Xenopus tropicalis: one gene and its partners. Each later gene encodes a partner of the first gene's protein in a complex. Links are inferred from orthologs where the notes say so. Each region holds a gene or a part of one and is shown on either strand. Other genes may lie near its edges.

Evidence for each region. The genes of interacting proteins can lie anywhere in the genome.
Region 2: gtf2f2 (region 1) and polr2k share a complex: the UniProt entries of both Homo sapiens proteins name them as parts of the TBP-based Pol II pre-initiation complex. The link is inferred for Xenopus tropicalis from reciprocal best matches to the Homo sapiens genes GTF2F2 and POLR2K.
Region 3: gtf2f2 (region 1) and gtf2h5 share a complex: the UniProt entries of both Homo sapiens proteins name them as parts of the TBP-based Pol II pre-initiation complex. The link is inferred for Xenopus tropicalis from reciprocal best matches to the Homo sapiens genes GTF2F2 and GTF2H5.

The regions. Positions count from the first base shown.
Region 1 is NC_030678.2:133,900,284-133,905,101, forward strand, and holds part of gtf2f2 (general transcription factor IIF subunit 2), read left to right. Parts: intron 1-1,205; coding exon 1,206-1,305; intron 1,306-4,818. UniProt on the Homo sapiens protein: TFIIF is a general transcription initiation factor that binds to RNA polymerase II and helps to recruit it to the initiation complex in collaboration with TFIIB.
Region 2 is NC_030682.2:128,131,163-128,136,549, forward strand, and holds polr2k (DNA-directed RNA polymerases I, II, and III subunit RPABC4), read left to right. Parts: upstream 1-1,638; 5' UTR 1,639-1,752; coding exon 1,753-1,813; intron 1,814-2,650; coding exon 2,651-2,743; intron 2,744-4,056; coding exon 4,057-4,079; 3' UTR 4,080-4,250; downstream 4,251-5,387. UniProt on the Homo sapiens protein: DNA-dependent RNA polymerase catalyzes the transcription of DNA into RNA using the four ribonucleoside triphosphates as substrates.
Region 3 is NC_030681.2:52,597,292-52,602,702, forward strand, and holds the start of gtf2h5 (general transcription factor IIH subunit 5), read left to right. Parts: upstream 1-1,662; 5' UTR 1,663-1,721; intron 1,722-4,313; exon of another isoform or gene 4,314-4,415; intron 4,416-5,411. UniProt on the Homo sapiens protein: Component of the general transcription and DNA repair factor IIH (TFIIH) core complex, which is involved in general and transcription-coupled nucleotide excision repair (NER) of damaged DNA and, when complexed to CAK, in RNA transcription by RNA polymerase II.

The sequences.
Region 1 (4,818 bases):
CTGAAACAGCCTAGTCTTCGTCTCCAAATAACACGCATTAAATTAAAAAAAAAAAAATTATATAGATAACACTTTTTTATTTCAGTTTATGTATAGTTATTTTGTTATATATAACCTAATTAGTGATTAGTCTTGTGATTCCTATATATTTAGTTTTCCTTTTAAACCATTTTATATGTAATATCTGGTTAAACAGAAACGGAATCTGCCTGTATGGATTGTAGTAAAATAGCAGATTGTTCTCTTGTTTTCCCAACCAGCACTAGCAGTTGTACTGAAAACAACTCTGATGAAACGGCTGCACAAGTGTTATATTAAGAACCTGTGCCAAATGCAGCAGGAACACATTACTCTGAAGAACTTGCAGTGTTTTATGCCTGTTCTCTGGAGAATGGTGTGGCTCGTCTTATATCAAAAATGTGAAAGTTCTGTAAAACACTAAAGAAATAATATATATGTAATTAATTTCCAAAAGGCAGACACCATGCAACAGTGTGAAGGAACAGAATGCATTTGAAAGCTATTTAGACTTATATGCACCCTTAAATGTATTTGCCAAAGGCTGACAGACTATGTTATCACCCAAAGAACTAATAAAATATAGTGCTTTATACATACTTTGGACATTGAGCTACATCAGCATGGGATAAATATAATAAAGAACTAAAAGATGAGGACAGTGATCAGGCCAGGTTTGTTTAAAGGTTTTCTGTCATGATTTTTATGGTGGATTTTTTATTACTAAATGACACTGTGTACATTACAAATAGTTAATTTTACTATTTAAAATGTTAATAAACCAACAAATGGTTTGGACAGTCCCTTCAAAAATTAGGATGTCTGGTTTAAAACCGGATATCTGGCATAATGTGCAGGAATACAGTATATGTAATGAATGCCCACTTTTAAGCATTTCTTTTCACTAAGTCAAAGCAAAGTATTTTTTAACATCTAACTAAGGAACAAAATGTGTCTTGTAAATTATACAAAGTTCTATCGATGCAACTGTGAATCGTACATTTTCATAACTGTCAAACAATTAGTTCAGCTCCTCGGCCCCTTTTAATGGCTTGTCTCCAATCAATTAGGCCTATCCTGATTACGATTTACTGTGATGTATCTCCCCTCAAACATCAATGGCTTATTGAATTAAATGTTCTGATTATCCGGTACTAATTGATTTCATTATTTTTGTGTCTATTTAGAAAACAGATTGAAGAATCTTCCAAACCAAAGAGGCAATCACAACAGATAGAAAAGGCAGTAACGACAAACTACAGACCAGTGTCAAACCATCAGTACAATGTAAGTTTATTAAAAAAAAATTCTCATTTAAGTTTGTTTAGAGGGCTTGTTGTGTATTCCATCAGAAGTGTCAATAAACCCGGTAAAGAGGATTTTTCCTATTGTAACTGCCAAGTTTTAGATTTTTCTTTGAGGCAACAAAACTGATCTAACATGTTGCAGCTCCATGGGGTAATCTCTAAGGTAATTTACAAATCAATGCAGTTTTCATTTCATTTTCTTCCAGAAAGCTCTAGTTTTTGCATAATACTTTGTAATGCCAGTCTCCCAACAGTATCTATGGCAAATAGCAACTGCACATGTTGGCAAAACATTTATGCTATGCAGTTGATGAATATCCATACACAATACGGCAGTGCTGTCCAACTGGCGGCCCGCGACCCCCCTCTGTGTGGCCCCCACCTGTCTGGCTGCTTTGATGGCTTACCTTTGAACCTGCATGGTTCTCACCTCAGATTCAGGCTGTAATCCCTCTGTATTGTTTAAAAATGTAATCCACTGTGTTTTTCACACCTTTTAATACCTGCATTGTTCACCCCCTGCAGTGTTCACACTTCAGGCTGTAATCACTCCCATTGTTCACTTCTTCACACCTCAGGCATAGGTACTGTAGGCAGAGTATGGCACATACAGCCAGCATAGGGCAGGTAGAGTATGGCACACACAGGCAGCATAGGTAAGGGAGGGTATGGCACACACAGGAAGGGTAGGGCAGGCAGAGTATGGCACACACAGGCAGGGTAGGACAGGCAGAGTATGGCACACACAGGCAGGGTAGGGCAGGCAGAGTATGGCACACACAGGCAGGGTAGGGCAGGCAGAGTATGGCACACACAGGCAGGGTAGGGCAGGCAGAGTATGGCACACACAGGCAGGGTAGGGCAGGCAGAGTATGGCACACAGAGGCAGCATAGGGAAGGCAGAGTATGGCACACACAGGCAGCATAGGACAGGCAGAGTGCTGCCTGTGTGTGCCATACTCTGCTTGCCCTATGCTGCTTGTGGGAGGTGAACCTGGCAGGGGTTTGTTGTGGGAGTTTGTTAGCAGTTGGAAATAGCCATTAAATGGTTCCTAAGGTGTGTATTTATGTACTGGGGGTTGCTCTGCTATCCACAGGGGAGGAGGAGGCATATGGAATTTAAGGGTATATCTTAATATGACATAATTCTTTCACATATGAATGATGGTTGATATCCCCACAGTAAGGACCAAGCATTTGGGATTTTGCTGTGCTACCACCATTGTGATAAAATAGGTGTGGTTTGAAGTGGGTGTGGTTTCAAAAAGGGGAGTGGTCAAAACTGGCTTCCATTAGCGGCCCTCCACCATGTATGCTAGAGAAATTCCGGCCCTCGGCACCGTAGAAGTTGGACAGCACTGCAATACGGCATTGAAAGGCCATTTAGCAACCAGTCTCACTGTAATGGATCATTGCAGTCTGTTCTTGTTCTTTGTTGCCTTTGATAGGCTAATTTTTGCCAACATTCCCTTATATTTAGAAATTAATTCTCACTCTTTGGGGCATGGACCCAAACTGGCATAAAAGGTTATTGCTTAAAAGTGTATTCCATTGTATCAGTTTAAAGGAAATTTCCCTTTACCATATATTGTTTTTCTTATGTTGCCTATTTTTGCTTGTGGGTATAATTTGTAGAGAGAAGGCCCATAATGAGCTCCATAAAATGCACAAGAATTGCACACTTTCTGAAAAACAAAATCAAATGTATTTATTAAAATAAGCAGACATAAAGCTCTGTGCGTTTTTGACCTGTTAAAGGCCACCTATCATACCAAAATTGTTTCACCTGCCAGAGGTGCGGGCTAATGGAGGCTTTATGCCATGTGGGGGTAAATTCTATTTTGAAAATGGCAAGCACTATGCTGTCCACGTTGGGAGGGACCTGGTTTGGAAAGCCACGTTGGGACCTTACGCAAGTGTCCCAGCTTCGCTCATTATATACATCTCTGTGGCATAGGATTGGGCAACCTCCTCCCCCGATCTAACACCACATGCACACACATAATGAGAGAACCAGGATACTCGCTTTTTATGTGTATGCTTGGGACCAAACAAGGCTATCCTCGGTGTGAGCATCATAGCACTCGCTAGGAGCGTTTTCTGGCCAAAATGGTATTGTTTCCTCCAACTAGAGTGGCGATAACAACAATTTTGTTATGATAGAGTCTTTAATCAGGAGAAAAATGAAAAAATAGGCATATATTCCAGTACCACCATCTGGCGTGACAACTTTCCTGCCAGTCTCATTTCCAGAGCTGAAGATGGAACTGTGCCAAGTTGCTATTTAAAAAAAAAAAACACAACAACAACAACACTTCTATGGAAGTGCCTTGAGAAAGGCATTTATTAAAGTGTTTCCATTACATAGGATCATAACACACGATAATATTAGTAAAGACCTTGATGTTCTGGCCATGATGAAATACTCAGTTGGCTACAAGAAATTGTAATAAGGGACAAATATCTTAGGCACCTCAGTGATTAATGCTATTTAATCCACCAATCAAATTAACATACTTACTGTATGTTGATCTGTGGCTGTGGTGCATTGTAATCTTATTGGAGCTGAGCAACAGGAAAAGGAACTAAAATAAAATGTAAAACTATCTAGTTTCCAAAAAATTAGATTTAGGTTTTAGTCGCAGTACTATTACAGTACAATACTTTTAGACCAATGGTCCATTCTTCCTCCCTCCATAACAAAAGGGTATTCCTGAATGTATGTCCAGCTTTTGACGTGACTTCTATCCCAATCAACCTCAAGAAAAAAAAAAACAGTATGGCTGATTACACACTGGAGCTAAATTGCACAATTACAGTTGCCAATAGCCACCAATCAGTTTTTACTCTTATCTTGTAGAAGACCAATCAAAACTAATTTCTGATTAGTTGCCATTGGCAACTGCACGCAGTTTTGCTTTTTTTTTTTCACAAAATCAACCCTATTGTGTTCATACTCAGCACAATTTTAAGCTAGAGGTGTGGTGTTAGATTCTTCTTTGATCAAACTTTTTTGTGTTTTAAAAATCTATCTTTATAAAACTTCACAATGAAAAAGTAATATAAACTTCAGGTCATGGATATAAGAAACTTTCTGAGTATTAATCTAGTCTACCGTACAGGGCTGTGTATATAATTAGCGCTATATATATATAATATATATATTTACACTGCACTGTTTCTGAAATAATCATGTTACTCTTCACTATTCCCCTCTCAGCACCTGTCTCTGCCCTGTACATGGAGAAGTTGGAGTCAGATTCTGATTGACTATTAACCGAAAGACAACTAGCTCTAATACATTGTCTAACAGGGTCACAGGGTCCACTTGATTTTTGTACTGGAAATCAAGAGTATATAATGAAAGTAGAGATTTTAAGTGTATGTGTTTGGCAAAAATAATCTGCAAACTGGGCTATTGGCTGGCAAATGAAACCAGAAGCCACAATTAATTGATCTGTTAATGTTTAATGAATCTTGGGAAGTAAATATT
Region 2 (5,387 bases), on another chromosome or scaffold:
AGATTATCACTATCTACATTATACTAAAAGTTATAGTTAAACTTAAAACTACCCCTTTAATAGAACAAATTGTCCCTGCATTTGCAAAATTAAAACCAATTGTGGGAAAAAGGAAACATTTCTATGTGATACCTTATATACCACGGTTTAGATCATTTCAGTGGGCCTCACACCCCCCAGTCTGGCACTGAATTATTGCTAAACTCATGCTCAGCAGTTCCTCATTATAAAAAGAAACATTGCAATTCACTTTATTTCCTACAGTGTAATCCAGGGGTCCCCAAACTTTTTTTAACCTGTGAGCAACATTTAAATATAAAAAAAAATGTAGGGAGCAACACAAGCATGAACAAAGTTCCTAGGCAGTGACCAATAAAGGCTGTGATTGGTTATTAGATGGCCCACTGTGGACTGGCAGACTACAGGAGGCTCTATTTGGCAGTACACATGGACTTTAGGTCTCCAAAACTTGACTCCAAAAAAAAATAAGCACCTGCTTTGAGGCCACTCAGAGCAACATCCAAGGGGTTGGGGAGCAACATGTTGCTCATGAGCCGCTGGCTGGGGATCACTGGTGTAACCCATACATGCCTATATTTAAAGCAAGAGGCTTATGAAGTATGCTTAGTATTGGGGTGCACACATTTTAGCATGATCCATAAAGCAAGGTTTTCAAAAGCAAGATTTAGGGAATTTGCAGTATCTGTTTTAATACAAATATCCTGCTTCCAACCAGAAACCAAACCAAACTATTAGGCTGAAACAACCAACAGCCAGGAGACAGTTAACTGCTAAACTATTTCAAAAACCACCAATAAAACCTGTAATAAAATCCTCACAATGAAATATTTCTGTTCACCTGAATCCTCTCTGGAGGGTCACCTGGAGACTATCTCTTGCTCAGGATCAATGAAACTGAGCTAAAACTGGAAAACCTGTAAACCCCCCACTTTTTTTCAAATGTGTTCCAAAGGTCATGTGATAAGTACCCATGGTGCTTTTCTTCAGTCATACCCATGATGCCTTTGTTCAGCCATTCCAATCAACTAATTAAAGTGATGAGTGGAAATTGTGTTATTTCTAAAAAAAAAAACTTTGTTATAATGTCAGCCTTTATCTAAGGTTGGCATTAGATAAATTTAAAATAAGTAGTAATGATAGCATTAGTTTTCCTAAAGGATCAGTAACAAAACATTGTTTTTGGCACCAAGTGGTATGATAGTTTCTTGATTCACTGTCTGCACATATAAAAGCAAATTCCGGCACAAAAGCATGTTTAGAGTACATTTTTCACAGCAACAATAGTATATAAGACAGGCGTCCCAGCAACAAACGCCATACCTGAAATCCATAATAAAATCAGAAAATTCATACTATTATATAAATAAATGACACCATACAATCACTTTAATAATGCAGAATAGCAACGGTGCCTTTCTGCATAGTGAAAGAATACTAGCATACTAATAAAGCTTGGAAACATATAGTTGCCCACACTAAAGATGGCCGTCGCACACACGCAGCGAACGTCACGCGTAGGAGCGCTTTCTGATGTCGTAGGAATCGTGCGCCTCGGATGTTTGGTGCATGCTGAGTTGAAAGCAGTGCTGTGCCGATATATTGTAGGCCGAGTAGTCACATTTATTGTATGTAGTGACGTTACGGTAGGGAGAGTGAGAGAAAGGCTGTAACTGCAAATTGACTTTTCTGCAGGAATAAAATACCCGCAATTTATGTTATTCAGGTGAAAAAATGGAAGGCCAGAAGGACGCACCTCCTCCTAAGCAGCAGCCGATGATATACATTTGTGGAGGTAAGGTTTTTCTCTCAAAGCAGTCAGTTTTACTCGGGGGTGCCTTTAGAGGAAGTTATTGGATTCAAAAGACATCAGGGACCTACAACTTCGGCTCCTGGTCACCTGCAATCCCAGCATCCCACCCTGAGTTTTGCCAAAAGTGCCTAATATCCTAAAGAGAAGTTATATGCCCAAAAAACCCTCCAGTGAATATATATATTCTAAACTAGTTGAACCTGTGCCATTTTAATTAGTTTCCCATAAGTCCCTTGCACTGAGCATATGCATTACTTTTGGTTCTGTACATCTGTTTCCTGTGTTTGGGACTAGTCACTAGGAACTATTGGGATACTGCAGAAAGATGGAGGCATGGGAGCTCCTGTATTCACTAGGGAGCTGAATTGGATAAATGTGGGCTTTTAAATGCCATTGTTGGTCATGAATTAAAGGGAGCCAATTATTGATGAAAAAAATGATTTCAAGAGGCCCTGCAGTTTCCAGCATTCTCAGGAGAGCTGAATGATACTGGTGATTGCAGTGCTAGTTTAGATCATGTTGAGAATGTTAATTGGCTAGTGTCTGCAAATGTCGGGATAATATTAAGAGAAGAGAGTGCAACTACGAATCAATAGCGAGCTACCACTAGATTGAAACATTGGATACAGGCACCCAGACAAGACCCCCTCACAATACCCAGAATATAAACATCTTATTTTTGTGTTGTTCCATTTGAACTCACAACAGTCCTTGCAGACATTGTCTTTTTACAAGACTTGTATATTTATCTTAGTCTTTATCAACATTGATTTTCTTTAGATTTTAAACTGCATGTTATTTTCTCTCATCTTTATTTAGAATGTCACACGGAAAATGAAATAAAAGCGAGAGATCCAATCAGGTGCAGAGAATGTGGTTACAGAATAATGTACAAGAAAAGAACAAAACGATGTATCCTTTTTTTCTGGTTACCTGCACATTTACTCCAGACTGAATGCGTGTAGGAACGGAGAATGGCCTGTAAAATAGGCTTGTATTAAACTTATTTCCATTAAAGGGGTTGTTCAATTTTATGATATTCTGAGACAGTTTGCAATTGGTCTTTGTATTATATGTGTGTGTTTTTAATTATTAAGCTATTTGTCTCCAGATTGGAAATTCAGCAGATATCAGGTTGCTAGGGTCCAAATTACCCTAGCAGCCATGCAGTGGTGTAAATGAGAAATACTAATACAAATAGGAGAGGCCTAAATAGAAGGATGTAAAAAAAATAGCAATACAAATAAAATTGTAACCTCAATAGTTGTTTGGATTCCCACAGTGGCCCCAAATCAAATTAAAAGCTAAAAAAAAATAAAAATAAGAAATGTTGACCAATTGAATAGTTTAGCAACTGAATTGCTAATTCTAAAACATACTGAAACATAATTGAAGGTGAACTTCCCCTTTGAAAAACATTAATTGTTTTTGTTACCATTTCCACTAAACTGTGCAGAAAGTGTAATTAAAGAACTTTCTTTTTGCAACTATTTTTTCAAAACAATTATGGAAGAAGGAAAAAGCATTTGATCAAATAATGCATTTTATTAAAAGAATAAGCAAAATAAAATCTAAGCAAAACGTTTGACCCCAATGTGTGTCTCTGCTCTGTTAGCTATGGTGCTTTCCATTTCGTAATATGAGGAGAGTTAAGGTTGTTGAAACCGCCACTAACGTTCAGGGCTGAAACGGCAGATAAGGAGGTAGAAACAATATGATTTCTGCCGACTCAGCCCTGATGGCAGATTTTGCTCAGACGCCTTCTATGGCGCCCGATCAAAATCTTTTAACCTGGCCGATCGGCGAGTCGACCGATATCAGCAGCCTCCTGTGATATCGGTCGACTCGGCGACTTGCCAAACACGCATCAAATATCGTATGAAACAAGGTTTTGTACGATATTATCGGTGCGTGTATGGCCAGCTTTATGGTGGACAGGGGTGTTTTTTCCTCCAGTGTTTTTTTGGAGTATGGCAGCAGTAGAACAAATAGTTGATGTGCCATAAGCATTATTCAGTCACGAGAGGAAGATTAAGGGAGAGCTGGAAACAAATTTAAAGCCAAAAAGTACTTTGTAAAGGGGAACTTCACACCATACATAACAATCCACTAAATTGTAAAATGGATTTATTTAACATCTACTGCAAATTTATTTATGGTACATGAGTGCTACACTTTATTTTCCATTATCTGATTCAATATTTCCTTAATTCTTTCAATTTCAGTGGTTGTGTTTGATGCTCGCTGACCTGGATAAAATTCAGTTACATGTGTCTGACATCTGCTCTACATATATATATGATTAAGTTACATATATATCAGATTTTGTTAATTAATGATAGTGTTCCTTGTTCTTGTGTAAAGCAAGGTATTACATGTTTTGTAATAAAGATTTTTAGAATTTTGTTTTTGTAAACATAACTCGTTGTCATCAGCGTAATTCTTTCTCAGTAATGAAAACTGCTGCATATCACCACCTCTCTGGTCTTATAATGAAGTTGCAGTCCAACAGGTCCCTTTTAGCTGCTGCAAATCCTGTCAGTATGGCTGTATTTTGCTGTGCCTACAACCTAATTGGTTTCCTGCACCTACCATATTACTGTAAATATTACATCATAAGAAATACAATCTTGCTATGCGGCTGGATGTTCTGCTCTAAATGACACAGTCAAACAAGTGTGGGAATGAAAACAGAACAAATTAAGATAACAGGGTCAGGGCTGCATAGTATGTAGGTACTATAAAGCAGGTAAGGGGGATTGATCAAAGGGAAAGTACACCCATTTTCAACATTAGCTCAATGAATAGGGCTTGTGCTGAACATACTTTTTGCCTGTTGCTTTAATTATGAAATATCTGTGTTTTCTATATTATCTGGCACAAAACAATAATATATAGCCAATTTCACTTTAGTATTTCTTGTCACTTGTGGTCCCAAAGAACTTCAAAGGAGCTAATAAAACTAATTACCAGTCCACTGAGAACCCCCTGATATTTAGCTGCTCAATGGCTGATGCTTAGAGAAAAATGTGTTTTGTTTGTTAAAAGGTAAATAGTAAGCTCTGAACACATTGCTATGTTTATATTCAGCAAAAATAGCCTAACTTTTAAATAGAAAAAAAAATAGAAAAATATGGATTTTTTTAGAGAAAAGAATTAAGACTAAAAGCAGAATGTAATTTCAACACCCATTTAATGTGCTTATTTGTAGCAAATGCATTTAAGGTACAACTGGTGCACTGGTAAAAGAGACGAAAGAAGGCAGTAAAAGTGTAAGGTGGCTGAAGCAATTGGGAACAGATTATATAGATAATATAAAAAGCCTTGAAATGAAAACAGAATTGGGCATGAAGATATAAATACCATCCAATTTCAGCTGTAGACCAGACGACCTGACTGTAATGACCCAGCTATCTTTAGTAATGATAAGGCCTAAGTTGAAGGAGACCTTTTGCTCCATTATTTATGCAATTTATGACTTATCAACCCAGGAAACACCATGACAATGTGAGTTTTAGTCCTGCAAAACTGAAAATCATCCCCTATGCTCCAAACA
Region 3 (5,411 bases), on another chromosome or scaffold:
TGGGGTTCCACATCTGGGAAATACAAGCTCTAAACTATAACAAAAGGGAAAGTTGTTCTCACTATACAATTTTAAGTTATTAAGTGGAGGTTCAATGAAGGTGTGACCACAAAATTCATATAGGGTTGCCACCTTTGCCAGAGTCTAAACCCGAACAAAGGGGGCAGGGCAGATAACATTGAGGGTGGGGCAGTGATGTTGGGATTGGGCTCAATGACATCAGAAGTGTGCACAATGATGTCAGTGGGCTTATGATGCTGGTGGGGTTTTTGCATCATTTGATGCAATTTATTGTATTTCTGTCCAGTTTTCATAGCTTAGTTTTAAACTGGAGAGAAAGTTTTGAACTGGACAGCCCTTTGAAAAAAAATAGGATGTCCAGTACAAAGCCACATTGGTGGCAAAAGTATCTTTATCTATAGTCTGCCTGATAAGTAAATCCAATCCTTTAATTATTGGAATTGGATCTATCATATAGATATCAGTTATAAAGAAAGTTTTGAAATACAGCAATGCTAAGTTTAAAAAAAATCGAATTGATCGATTTGCTTGTTTTTTTGTTTTGTAATAATAAGAAATTTACTGTACTTGATGATAACTAAGCCATGTTTAGGTGATTATCTTAATATTTGTCTGGCATTTATTGGCCAGATTATTGTTCGGGTTTCACAAGGCTGAAAACCGAACAGACAGTTGAGACCCGAACAGGTGGCATCCCTAATACAGAAATAGAAAAAAATCCCCTGCTTTCATCCATTTCAATACATTAAGGATATTAAGACATTTTGTGCATAACGTTACTAAAAATGTACCTCCTCTTTAAACAAAACAGGGATTTTTGTTTAAAATTGTTTGTTTGTACATATATTGCAATATGTTCAGGCTGGACAACTGTGTCCAAGTCAACCCTGCTCTCACTTTCATCTGATTCATTAATAATATCATTAGCAATATCCTGCAACTAGAAGGTTTGCCAATGCCTGCCTCACTTACGGGGCTTGTGGTGCAAAGCTAACATTAGACAAGTTGCATATGTGGGGTTTTTGCCCCAGAGCCCCAATACCTTTATTTATGCCACTTGGGATTCGGTTCAGAATCTATGTATCTAAAATATTTACAGTTGCATTGAAGCCATCAATGAATATTATAAATACTTATAAAATAGTAAAACAAACAAGTAGTTGTATTTGTGAACGAAGCACCAAAACTATCAAACGCATTTGGTGAGAGTTTGCCAAAAAAAAAAAAAAAATCACAACATGACTTTTTTATGTACATCCAATCAGAAATCATAAGTTTACAATTAGTCTGAATTTTATTTATATTATATATTACTATATTTACAGTAATATGTGAATTAAAGACATTAAAGGACAATCAGTAGGCTTATTCTGGGATAGAACATACACTATATTTCATTTTCAGGTATTTATTCTTTATTTTTAAGCTGGCACGCATTATATTACAATACTGTAAATCATGCAAAGATCAGTATGACTGTGAAATTCGGGTTTGCAAGTATCTTGTCTAACTACACCACTAAAAACACCCTACTGCTCCACATACAGATCCAGTTGCTTCTTCAACGCATGTGCGAAGTTTGTCTTTGGAACAGAGTTTGTTTCTCCGTCGCATAGATGACGTAAGGGAAAAGAGCCGAGGAAAGCAGGAAGTATCAGTGAGCAGTGTGAGGTTGCTAGCGGAGCGGAAAAGACTCAAGGGTAAGGCTGTTAGGGTATATGGTTTGGTTATAAGTTCACGCAAATGTTAGGGAGAATTCGCGGGTCACTATCTCAGCCTCAGTAGATTGCGTTATATGTGTCAAACTACGGGAGAGCTGGTGCTGAATTACCCTTGTTTAAAAAATGACTTCTTTTTCTTCTAATATTGGGCCACATTATCCGTCCAGAGTAATAGTACTCGTTGAAAAATGAAATGATGACAACTAATACAATATGGCAAGAAAGAGTTCGCCATTTATTGCTCTCTCAGGCATAAGGCAGACTCTGTTTCACAGTAGTGCAAGGCTTTCATCTAAGCTCAAGAGAAGCATTTCTATATAAATAGTGGATTAGTTATTTATTGTCTCATTATTACAACTGCGCCACTTAGGGTAGCAACTGGCTGCAGGGTTGTTCACCTTCACATAAATGCAGTTGTCAGGGCAGATTAGGCCATTCGATGCAAATATGTAATGTATCTCTTTTAAAAAAAATCTCTAGTTTTTGCAAAAATGCCTTTCCTCCTGTTGATTAAGTTTACAAAAAGTACAAGGTTGTTTGCGATCAGAGACAGGGTTGTCAGGTTGGCAAGCTTTGCACCAAATTAGGCTACACTTTTTGAGCTATTCTATTTTTCATATTTTTTTTCTCTGTGCATATTGCAGTATTTGTGGCCTATTTTTTAAATGGCTTTTGGCAGATTTATGCTAGTTTTTTAAGTTTGGTAAGTATAGATTGTGTGTGCTGGGTTTTCTTGGAAGGGTTGAACTTGATGGACTCTGGCCTTTTTTCAACCCTATGCAACTATGTATCTATGTAATTTTGGCTGGTTTTGAAAATTAGACCTTGCAACCCTAATCAGACTACCAGTTTGCTATGGATGAAAATACTGGTGCTTCTGTTGTGTTACTGCCTAATGGCCTACTGCCAAATGAGCCTTGGTAAATAAAAGTTAAGCTCACATTGATATTGCACTTTTGGCTATGGCTTTACTTCTTGCACGCAATTACTGTGTGTGGTGTTAACAGGAGCCCTGTGCCCCCCGCTGACTAGGGGGGAGCAGGTATACTTTATACTTGCCGTGCCTCCATCCAGGGTAGGGACAGGTTGAACTGTAACACCCCTCCCTGGGAAACTCTGTACAGTCCTCCTTGTATATGGACTCCCTGCAACTTCCGGGACCTTGCCCCCCTTAGGGTGGTTGCTTACCAGGCAGTTGAGGATCCAATCCTTGAGGAATTAACCACTGGAAGTGCTGATTAACCAGATGAACTTGTTTACTGTATTCACACAGAGTACGTATGTATGTATCTCTTTATTTATAAAGTGCTACTTATGTACGCAGCGCTGTACAGTAGAATACATTAATACAAACAGGGGCTTATTAAGATAATAGATAAATACACAGTATAACAATAAATACAAGATACAGTTGCAATAACTTAAGAGTCAAAGACACAAGAGGATAGAGGTCCCTGCCCCATAGAGTTTACAATCTAGATCACAGAGTATCCAGTAGTATGACATGCAGGTTCATGTACTTCTTACTTCTCTCAAGAGACCCTCTCACTTAGGCTTATTCTCCTGTACTCCCGCAAGAGATCCTTTCTTAGGAGTTCTCCCTGGTACTCATGCCAGAAGACTCTCTCTTAGGGCTCTCCCCGGTACTCCCACCAAGAGACACTCCCTTGGACTCTCCCCGGTACTCATGCCAAGAATACCCTAACTCATGTCTTTGAACCTTATGTGATACCGTCCACAAGCAAGTTTTCAGCAGTGGGAGTAATGAAAATTCTTGTTTTTAAGGGAGCCAATTTACAATCTGCCTAAGGACTTTGAAGGGGCATTTACAACAACTATACAGAACGCATGTTTTTTGTGTTAATAGATTGAGGAACTTGCTTTCTTCCACTAGAAACAGAACGTTTTCACTATAAAGGGGTCTATATTGCTAATATTGCTAATTGAATAAAGTCCTGCTGGTACCACAAGACAACAGTGGCATGGCAAGTGGTTTTATACCTAAAGTGTGGTTGTGTGTGCAAACATGATTCCATTTTGCATTTATTGTAGATTTTGTTCAATGTTTTGCATTCTATTTGGTGTATAGACAACATAGTCGGGGATATCTGCCAAGTTTCTCACATTAATAAATTGACATTTTCCTACATTACTGGTATTAGTGTGACTGTTACATCCCTAATTTTGTGTGGGTTTTTTTTTTTTCTTCTTTTGAATTTGAATACTAACTACATGTTCATTCATACTGTAATTGGTTAAATAAATGGTTGATGTGTTCCCTTAAAACTGTATTTTGTATTTACTGTGCTTTACAAAATTAAATAAATGAAAAGTTTATATTCTTTAAGTTGTATTTTTTATGATGGATTTCAGTGTACAATTTAGTTTACCACTTGGCCTGACCTTAACTTGATACTGACTTGTACTTTGTTTTCTGTCCCAACACCAGCTGTTTTGTTTCTCCTTTACTTTTATAGACCTTCAGAGGGATAATGGCCAGTAGTCATCTTTCAGTGCATTTGGCCCTTCCCTTGCTTCTAAAGAAATTCTAAGCCTTTGTTCAATTTTATATTTACAAGGGAAAATCCTAGAAACTATCAGCTAATATCCTGTTGGGCAGGGTGAAGAGTAGAGGGGAAATCACTTGGCAAATTACATGGACATTGTCTGGCAGTATGTATCTAATTTGAGAGTGTGTTAAATATTCTATTAGTTTCCATAAGTGTCTGGCTCATAAAACCATTTGGCGTAAATATGCTGCCTTTTAGATATAAATTGATGCATTTATTTTCGACATGTCTATTTTTTTCAAGAATGTAGCAGCAAAAGAAAAAAGAATGGGAAGCAAGCTAATAATACTGATATCTTTAAAGGGGTGCTGTCATGGGTTTCATGGTGTATATTTTAATACTGGTTTGCAGTGTATTCTTAGAAATAATTTATTCAGCTATTTATATTTTCAAACTAATTTGTAAATACGCTGCCATCTCACTTTGTTATGCATTATCCCGTGCTTAGAAAAACAGTTTGGGTGTCAAGACCCATTACCTCTTACAATGTATAATGTATCTGGGGCTAAAGTGTTCTCTGCCTCTTACTGTATTTAATGTATTTGGGGTGTTTGTGCACTGTGCATCTCATTGTATTATATATTTATCACTGTATAATGTTGGGATATTGTTCTTGGAAGGCAAATGGTTCTTCAAAAGGCAATCCTCCACTGCACCTTCTGCATCAGCCATGGTGCTTTTCATTTGATGATATCAAAAGCAGATAGGGGTGTTTTTAAATTATGTGTAATTGATGCATTTGAAAACAGCATGTTTCCCTATAAAGGAATCCCTTTAAAATACATTAAAGGAGAAGGAAAGGTAAAAACTAAGTAAGCTTTATCAGAAAGGTCACAGAACCCCTGCACAGTCCTCTATCAAAAGAAACACATGATTTCTTGTCTCCTTTTTTGTAAACATGTTGTTGGGGTATCTGACTTCCTCTCTGGTGATTCTGGTGGCCAGAGTCTGCTTCTTCCTTCCCGTAAGAATGCTGAGAACTCCTTCCCCCCTCCTTTCGGAATGTGTGATCTGAGTTATAATGGCACCTGCTGTCTTAAGTAAATGGAGAAAGCTTCTAGGGCTCTTTACTTAGGTATGGCAGTGCTTTCTGCAGAAT